2 linked regions of the Caenorhabditis elegans genome follow. The protein of the gene in region 1 interacts with the protein of each later gene in a biochemical or structural test. Each region holds a gene or a part of one and is shown on either strand. Other genes may lie near its edges. The genes, in order: daf-2 and chn-1.

Region 1 (4,857 bases):
TTTCGATAGTTTTTTAAAAAATTTTCAGATTAGGCAGTATTTGCCGGAGTTGGTAGAAAGATTTCTGGCAAAGTCGGCAATTTGCTGGAATTGAAATTTCCGGCAAAATCGGCAATTTGCCATTTTTCAAATTTTCGGAAAATTTGGCATTTGCCCAAATTGAAAAATTTTAAATTTTCGGCAAATCGGAAAATTGCCGGAATTGAAAATTTCCAGAAAATCGGCAAATTGCAGAAATTGAAAATTTCCGGCAAATCGGCAAATTGCGGGAATTGAAAATTTCCAGCAAATCGGCAATTTGCCGGAATTGAAAATTTCTGGCAAATCGGCAATTTGCCGGAATTAAAAATTTCCAGAAAATCGGCAAATTGCCGGAATTGAAAATTTCCAGAAAATCGGCAAATTGTCGGAATTGAAATTTCCGGCAAACTGGCAATTTCCCGAAACTGAAAATTTCCGGCAAACAGCAAAGTCGGCAATTTGCGGTTTTCCAAATTTTTGGCAAATTCTGCAAACCGGCAACTAGTCGATTTGCCGGAAAAACGGCAACTGCCGAAAGTTTCGGTAAATTGTGGGTTTGCGTAATTTAAAAAATCCCCTCAAAAAATCCGGCGAATTGATATCCGGCAAAATTGCCGGAATTGAAAATTTCCGGCAAATCGGCAAATTGCCGGAATTGAAAATTTCCAGCAAATCGGCAATTTGCCGGAATTGAAAATTTCCAGAAAATCGGCAATTTGCCAAAAATCGGCGTTCAAAAACTGACAAAAAATTCAGAATAAATTGCGATTTTTTCAAAGAAAAACCAAATTTTGACCAATAAAAAAATTCTGAACACTGTCAATTCCATATCATGTAATAAAACAACGAAAAAAAATGCATCACATGACCTAATCTTTGTCATTTTTCATGAAATCGTTGATTTTTGGTCATTTTAGAGGTGTTTTTGGTCGAAAAAATCAAAATTTTTGCCAGATTTTGAATAGATTTCATGAAAAAAAACGATTTTTATAGAGGATTTGGTGTCAAAAAATTGTGGAAATTATTAGATTTGGGGAATAAAAATCCAATTTTTTTCAGATAAAAAATTAAAATCTAAAGCGAAAAAATGGCCAAAAAATGGCCCAAAAAATCTACATTTTTGCCCATTTTTCTGGAGTTTTCCCAGAATTTTTTCGGTTTTTGGGGTTAAATTTCCGGGAAAACATAATTTTTTTAATTTTTTAATTATATTTTCGGAATTTTACCGCCAAAAACTCATTTTTAATGGCAAAAAAACATAGAAAAATGGTTCAATCAATTGAAAATTTCAATTTTGTCCAGAATTCAATTTATATTTAATTAATATCCAATTTTTCACATTTTGGTAGTTTATTTACCATTTTTTTTTTGATTTTGGCCACAAAATGTACCTAAATTAACAAAAAAAAGTTGGTAAAACTGGAGATTTTAGTGAAATCTGGGGGATTTTCCGGGATTTTTTTTTCGGTTTTTGGGGTTAAAATTCCGGAAAAAACTCAATTTTTTCAGTTTTTTATCGAATTTTCGGCATTTTAACGTCGAAAAACTCAATTTTAATGGCAAAAAAACATAGAAAAAAGAACGAAGGGTCAATTCAAATGTTTTCGCGTTTCGTTTTTTGATCTTTGAGTTGTTGTTGTTGTACCCCATCCGCCGCCGTTTTTTTTTTCAAATTTATTTTTTTCCCGCCAAAAAAACCTAAAAATCAATAATTTAAACTATAAAATAGCAAATTATTACGATTTTTAATTGAAAAATTGAGCAAAAAATTGACATTTTTTGTAAAATAAACACAAAAAAACCAATTCCCACGTGGCACAGATTGTTTGCTCATCGTTTGTCGGTGTACTTTTTGGAAAATATTTATTTTTAAGGGGGTATTTCTGATTGAAAGAGCGAAAAAAAGCGAAAAATGAGTGAAAATTTGGAAGAAATCGAAGAAAATTGGGCTAAAATTCGATTTTTTTCGCAAAAATTTGATTTTTGAGCCAATTTTTTGTAATTTTTTGTATTTTTTTTCACCAAATTTTGCTGAATTTTACTTGAAATTTTAGAATTTTGGATTATAAAATCCAAAATTTTTCGATATTTTTTGCAATTTACTGGTCAAAATTGCGGAAAAATGGTTCAGAAATTGGCGAAAATGGGAATTTTCATCAATTTTAAAGCGATTTTTGGTTATTTTTTGAGATTTTCCCTAAAAATCTCCAAAATTCTGCCTAAAACATCAGAAAATTCGTTATTTTTATTGCTAAATTGCTGCAAATGGCCCAGAGATTGACCGAAGTGTGATTTTTTAAATAAATTTTTATCAATTTTTATCAATTTTAAAGCGAAAAAACCAATTTTCACATTAATTTTGTTGGTTTTTAACGAAATTTTTGGGATTTTCTCGATTTTTTGTGTGATTTCGCTAAAAATTGTGTGTATTTTTAAAACAAAATCGCTTAAAATCGATATTTTCAAGTAATTTTTTCAATTTTTAATTGCTTTTTTGAGCAAATTTTGTGGTTTTGTCTGTTGAAATCTTTTAAAAACCTTATTTTTCTCGATTTTTTCCTAGATTTTCCACTTTTTTTCACGAAAAACTTCGAATATCCGTTATTTTTTCACAAAGGCAGCCTAAAAGTGCATTGAAAAGACCTTGAAAATGGTCAAAAATGACGTGAAAAGATCCAATTGGCACCGTGCCAAGACTATTGCAACAAATTCGGCGTAATTTGAATTGGATAAATGGAATTTTACGGGCGGAAATTGGGAAAAACTGGAAAATGACGGGAAAATCGTTCTGTGAGCGAAGAATCAGATGGTTTAGCAGATTTTTAAGGTTAAATTTGATAATTTAGACAAAAAAAAAGACTAAAATCGGCTGAGAAATGAAGAAAATAGCAAAAAATCGGTGAAAAATCAAAAAACCCGCCTGAATCTCCCTATTTTTACGATTTTTGTGGGAATTTTAGTGGAAAAAAAGAGAAAATTACTTACTTTTGTCGAAAAAATGATAAAAATCCGTGAAAAATAGCTGGAATATTGAGAAAAATCGAAGAAAAATGTGAAAAACGAAATTCAAAAATCAAAAACGAAAGCGCGGGTACGCAAACACCGCTGCACACATTCGCAGGTACAGTACCCCGGGAAAATGTTTAAAATCAGTTAAAATGTCGATTTAAAGCTTTTTTTCAATGGAAAAATACAGTTTCTACATTTCATAAATTGAAAACTTGAATTTTCAGTTCAAAACATTGCAAAAATGCACAAAAAACATCTCTAAAAATGGTGAAAACTCTAAATTGACAATGGAGCGCACTTGCTACTACCAATATTTTTTGCAAAAAAAGCGACATTTGACCGGTTTGAACTCTTTTGAACCCCACGAAATTAGGGAAAAACACCAGGAAAACAAGGCCGAAAGAAGTAAACAACATTTCCGCCATGAAAAAGATAGAAAAAGATGAAATCTGATGGTCGTTTATCATCTTTTAATGCACTTTTACTATTTCTACACAGATTTCTATAGAGAGGAGGCAATGTCATTGATAGATATCCTTATCAATTAATCCGCCGATATTATTTGGGAACATTCAAGAAACAAAGAAACTAGGAAAAATAGAGAGAAAAACAAGAATTAGAAGGTTTGGTAAAAAATTTAAAATTCGAGAATGACGTCACTACATAGCTCCTTCGTTTCTTTGCATAACTCTAATTTTTGATCAGAAAAGTGTCAGAAAAGTTTCGCGCCATTTGCGTAATTATTTTTTTTTTCTCAAAATAGCAGGAAAAAGGAGGGAAATTCGACTTTTTCTGCCAGAGGGGAAGAGATTCGAGATTCAGCTTCAATTTCCAGGTCGTATATCTAGGCACGTATCTCAGCGGGAGAAATAGTTACAAAAATGTTGTCAATGAAGTACTTGTAGAGCTCAAAATTTCCTACAATTCACTAGTGGAAAATTTTTTGCTAACACTCTTCCTCAATGAGATAAACGGCCGTAAATGAGGCTCTGCCCTTCGCGCGGTTTCAAACTCAGCACAGCTTGGCGCTTATTTCTCTGCGAGGGAGAAAGTTACAAAAAATTTGTTAACTAGCAATTTGTAGAGCTTCATATTTGCCACAATTCACTAGTGAAAAATTTTTTGCTAGCATCTTTCCTCAATGAGATAAACGGTCGTAAGTAAGGCTCTGCCGCACTGACCTTTCGCACTTTGCACAGCTTGGCGCTCATATCTCTGCGGGGAAAAAAGTTGCCAAAAAGTTGTCAACTAACAACTTGTAGAGCTTAAAATTTTCTACAGATTACTAGTTTGGAATTATTTGCTAGCACCTTTCCTCAATGAGATAAACGGTCGTAAGTAAGGCTCTGCCGCACTAAGCTCTCGCACTCACCACACTTAGACGCGTGTACCTCAGCGAAGAGGAAAGATAATAAAAAGTTGTTAACTAACAACTTGTAGAGCTTAAAATTTGCTATATTTTTGTGTGAAAACAGTTTTTCATAACTCTGCTCCACACAGATATACACACATTTAAAATTAGATTCACAAAGTCTTGCAAACCTAATTTAGCACTCCTAAACTGTAAATCAGCAATTTTTTTTGTTAAAATTTCCACTAAAAAGTTATAACAATATGTTATTCAAAAGAAAGAACGCAAAATAAACTATAGTATAAAAACTAGACAAACATATTTTGATGATATTTTAAAGTCAGAAAAATAGATGACAAAATGGCATCTGGATTTGCTCGGTGAGTCAAAGTGTACTTTAAAAGTTCAACTATACGATTTTCAGGAAATTATGATAAAAACAAGAGCTTTATTTACAGATAATTATTAAAAGTTAG
Region 2 (4,895 bases), on another chromosome or scaffold:
TTAGGAAGTTATAATTTGCTAAAAAAACCTGCGTTTTCTCACCTTCGTACGTATCCGTACGTCTCTCTAACTCGATAAATTCTTCCTCAGCTGCACGTTTAACATCTCTCCCAGGCTCACGTCTACGCATCCTGTATTAATCATTTTAGAAAACAGATCAATAAAAAAATAAAATAGTGACAGCATTTTTAAAGCGAATATACGAGATTTATACGAACATGTAAAACTTTTACTATTTTTATTCAATGAACACAGAATTCCTTGAACTATTTAGCTGATCTTGTAAAACCTTGGATTAAATTACAGAATTAAAAAATAAAAACCCGTGAAAAATGAAGGTAATGTACCGGCAAAATTTTAAACACATAAAAAATAAGAAATTCGTGCAATAATCGGTGGAATGTTGTCTGAAGAGCCGCCGTTCTCAATCCAGCGTTTCGTTAGAAATCTGTAAGTGCGAAAATTGTAGATCAAAAAATTTCTTAACTATTTTGATCTACAAAAACCACTTACTGGACCATTTTCTCATCACAACTTGTGTTGGCAATGTCCATCGTTGAATCTTGTTGTGAAGAAACAGTCAGAAAAAGTATTGTTTTGGGAACTGGATATTTTCCGTGATCTGAGAACGCATGAAGAACAAGAACTGCATCCCATTTTAGCAGGTCTACATCCAAAATCACAGCTGTTCGAGGTGATGATTGTGAAATAAGAGCGGGTCCGAGGACTGAAATAATGCATTATATTTTCAAAATTCAGCGAATTTTCACATTACTTTGGAGATGTTAAAAAGTTATTTAAACATAAAATATTATGAGGTTCTGAAATCACTCACTTTCCTGCAAATTCGCATGCAACTCGGCTCTATCAGTGTCACTTTCCACTCTAATTGATGATTTTCCTGCCGTAGTATGCTCATCACTTTTAGCATCTTGAACAGCTCGATTCACAGCTTCGGCAATTTGTTTGGCCGGTGTTCCCCCAACAAGAACAACCAACGGAGCATGATTTTCTGGTTCCAAATAGATTTTCTGCCCGATTAGTCTTAAGAGATCCCGATTTTCTTTCGAAATTGTAGGAAACTCGTTCTTGATGACAGATCGGACTGATTTGATGTAACTTTCATACGATTCGTTAGTCTAGAAAATTGTTAATTATTCCGATACCGCGTGTAGTTTTACCAACCGTAACTTTGCTTCCTTTAATCAATGCTCCCACAACAATCGCAATGAAAACTATTCCAATAACAGTCCAGTATTTCCATTTTTCATTCACTTCGTTACATGACACATCGGATTCTTCTGATCCATGTGAGCTACTGAAACTCAAATCCGCATCTGTGAAATCATTTTCATCTTGTTGCTCGCTAGTCTTTTCGGTTCTTGCATTACTTATTTGTTCAGTTAGATCAGGATAAAGCCTTGATGAACTATCGAGACTCCTACGTTTATTCGATGTTGGTATGTAATTGGATGGAGTTCCATATGATTTTCTGGTTTGCACCATACCCTGAACTAAAACGAAAATTGGAGCAGAATTTGAAAAAAAAAAATTAAACTGTTAAAAAAAAACATAAATATAAAAAATTGCGGCAAAAAACAAATTTTGGCTTGGAGCGAGTACACCGCAAACACCGCAAGCTTAATTTGCACACAATGCGTCAGAGCTTACGCGCAACTCTATCCGCATCATGCTTTTCAAAATCGATTTTTAGAACAATTTCCGCTTATTTTCAGCGTTTGCAGCATGTCAAGCGGCGCCGAACAACATAATACTAATGGCAAAAAGTGTTATATGAATAAAAGGTATTTTCATTTATGTGTAATAAATCCCATGTCTTTGAACTTTCAGATATGACGATGCCGTTGATCACTATTCGAAAGCCATCAAAGTAAATCCTCTGCCGAAATACTATCAGAACAGAGCAATGTGTTACTTTCAGGTATTTATACTTCGATTAAAACTTTTCTTTAACTTTTGTAATATATATTCTAGCTTAACAACCTCAAGATGACTGAAGAAGACTGCAAACGGGCACTGGAACTGAGCCCAAACGAAGTGAAAGTAAGCTTTCAACTCTTGAAGTTAATTAGTTATTCAATTCATTTTCAGCCTTTATACTTCTTGGGAAATGTATTTCTACAGAGCAAAAAGTACAGTGAAGCAATAAGCTGTCTCTCCAAAGCGCTCTACCATAATGCTGTTATCACGGTAGAAATTTTTGAACGGCGTTTATTAAAACGGAATTGTGGTTTCAGAACGCTCCAGATATTGAGAACGCCCTCAAACGGGCACGCCATCAAAAGTACGAGGAGGAGGAGTCAAAGCGAATTGTACAAGACGTTGAATTTCACACGTATTTGGAGAGCTTGATCGAAAAGGATCGTCAAGAAAATTCTGAAAACCCAGAGGAGTTGCAAAGAGCAGATATGGCTAAAAAACGTCTAACCGAACTCACTTTAGCGGTAAATACTTTTTCTTGAAAGTTTTTTGAAACTTTAGTAATACTATTCCCAAATTCTTATATCTAAGCGTTTCTAATTCGAACCAAACGAGTTTCCGAATCCTGCCAACTTTTTTCAACCGGTTCAAAATATACTTTCAGAATTAAGCATACTAAACTATCGTGAGTGTAATATTTCCTAAATCACGAGAGATCAAAGAGAATCAAAATATCATTTTTTAGACACAAGAAAAACGGCAAAACAGGGAGGTTCCTGAGATGCTCTGCGGCAAAATTACACTGGAACTGATGAAAGAGCCGGTGATAGTTCCATCTGGAATCACGTATGACCGAGAAGAAATTGTGCAGCATTTGAGAAGAATTGGCCATTTCGATCCAGTCACAAGAAAACCACTTACCGAAAATGAAATTATTCCGAATTATGCACTGAAAGAGGTTGGAAATTTATACAGGGTGGGCCAAAAGTATGGTAACACGTTTGCAGCTCTATAACTTTACTAGTGGAAAGAGTTACTACATCAATTGTTACAAGTTTTGTTCTCCATAAAATACTGACCAGATGAACGTTTTGAATTTTCAAAATATTCCCATCCGCATCGCTGCAGGCCTTCAGAACTTTTGAGATCACGACCTTTATGGCACGCAAGTCGGCATTCTGCGGGATTTCTACATTTTTCTCGAGGAATCCATCAAGTGCCTTACAAGTTTTTATAGTTCAAAGAATGCTCTTGGTCTAGAGATTCTATAAAAACAAAAATCCAAATAATTTCTATCACGGTATTTCTGTCATGGACTGCGGCAGTAGGTTAAGTCTTGAATGGCATAGTCGCCAGAAAGATGGATGTGAGCGGCGAGTAGCAGTATGCAGAAAAATTCATTTTAGTATTTTTCGAGACGTTTTGACCTGACTTTCCAGAATTTTTTTAGAAAATTGAGCTCGGATGATTTTGTGGGACGTTACGCCTTGCGAAACCAAAAAAACTGAGTAAATTTCGCAAAGTTGAATTCATGAAATATTCAAAGGTTCTTGCTAGGCGCCAGTGTCGACACAGAAAATTTTTATATGCCACAAAAACAATTAAAAACGCTTCTTCACTTCTTTAACTTTAAATTTAACATAAAAATCATACATCTGAAAATTATTGGCGTGCATGGGAGGTGTGTTTGTGTGGGAAGTGCCGCGTGCCAAATTACCGTTTTTTCGAAAGGGTTCGCCAAATTGTCGAGGTGATAAAGATCGCACCTTATTGGGAAACATTACAAATTTTGAGTCAAATTGAAGGAAATTTATTCAGCTATCAGTATTCGATAGAAGAATGTACGTATGACGTGGCAGTCACGCGAAAAGCTCATGTAAAAGAGCGCTTCATGTGTTACCATACTTTTGGCCCACCCTGTAATAAATTCAGTTAATTTCTAATGATTTTCAGGTTATTGAAAAGTTTCTTGACGACAACCCATGGGCTAAATATGAACCCGGAGGCATGGTTTAAATACTATTCAGAATATTGAAAAATTCAACATTAAACATTCCTGGCTGCTTCTCAATGCAACTTCTTCACTTTTCTACATGTTTCAGTTCTTTGCATTTTTTTTTCGGATTTTTAAACTTTTATTGTTTGAACGCTGTACCCTCCTTTTCTGTTCTACCGGTATTTGTATCTTGGTGTATTTTTTAGCTTTAGTTTTCTTTCAAAATTCCATTGAATTTCTGGTAGAAAGTGCACTTCAACTTGTCGCTTAGTTCTCAATTTTACTGCTAAAAGTGAGATTCTGTAAATATTGTATGAAATAAAGAGGTGTGATGCTTTTCTTTTCATTTTACAATTTTTTTTATACCAATAGGAAGGTCTATAACCTACTATCTACGTGACTTTGTAAATAAAATAAATAAAATCGGGAAGTTTTCAAAATTGCATCACTGGGAGTGCGGGATTGCGGAGTGTCGTTGTGAAATTTAGACGGCATTTTTTTCCGTTTTTTCAATTTCGAAGCTGTTTAAGCTGAATTCTGTTCGAAAATTTGTTGAAATAAAATGCAAAAAAGAATTTTTGTTCACAAAAAATGGTTATTTTCATTCTCCGGGCATTATTATTTTTGTTTGCAGAGTTTTAGAATAACTGTTTAAAAATCCTTGATGTTTAGATCTGAAAAGCTTTCAATGGTTCAGAAGAAATTATAATTAAACCGAAATTAATTAATTAAATTTATTATTTGAATATTTCCCGCACAAGTTCCATTCTTGCCTCTTCTTTATTGAACTTATAATGTGAAAAATTATTCTTCAGATGTTGTCACGAATTTGTGGAAACGGGATACGATTAACTCGGACAAGACTTCAATTTCAGCCATCTATTGTTACTTTCAGAGGTAGGCAATGTCTATAGGTTTTCATTTCTAACTATTTCCAACTTTCAGACTACAGTAATCC

What was found.
Region 2: of the proteins of daf-2 (region 1) and chn-1, one has a biochemical effect on the other in vitro, tested with the Caenorhabditis elegans proteins (2 studies listed by BioGRID, with this or other methods).

What each region holds. Positions count from the first base shown.
Region 1 is NC_003281.10:3,037,776-3,042,632, forward strand, and holds the start of daf-2 (Insulin-like receptor subunit beta), read right to left. Parts: upstream 3,072-4,857; 5' UTR 3,007-3,071; intron 1-3,006. UniProt on the Caenorhabditis elegans protein: Insulin receptor-like tyrosine kinase which regulates metabolism, controls longevity and prevents developmental arrest at the dauer stage.
Region 2 is NC_003279.8:6,180,698-6,185,592, reverse strand, and holds chn-1 (E3 ubiquitin-protein ligase CHIP), read left to right. Parts: upstream 1-1,736; 5' UTR 1,737-1,746; coding exon 1,747-1,805; intron 1,806-1,851; coding exon 1,852-1,942; intron 1,943-1,995; coding exon 1,996-2,064; intron 2,065-2,112; coding exon 2,113-2,211; intron 2,212-2,258; coding exon 2,259-2,465; intron 2,466-2,686; coding exon 2,687-2,899; intron 2,900-3,894; coding exon 3,895-3,957; 3' UTR 3,958-4,279; downstream 4,280-4,895. Other genes in the region: GPI mannosyltransferase pigv-1, read right to left, coding at 43-130; T09B4.2 (Torsin-1B), read right to left, coding at 358-448, 514-727, 836-1,139, 1,186-1,506; putative mitochondrial import inner membrane translocase subunit tin-44, read left to right, coding at 4,753-4,834, 4,883-4,895.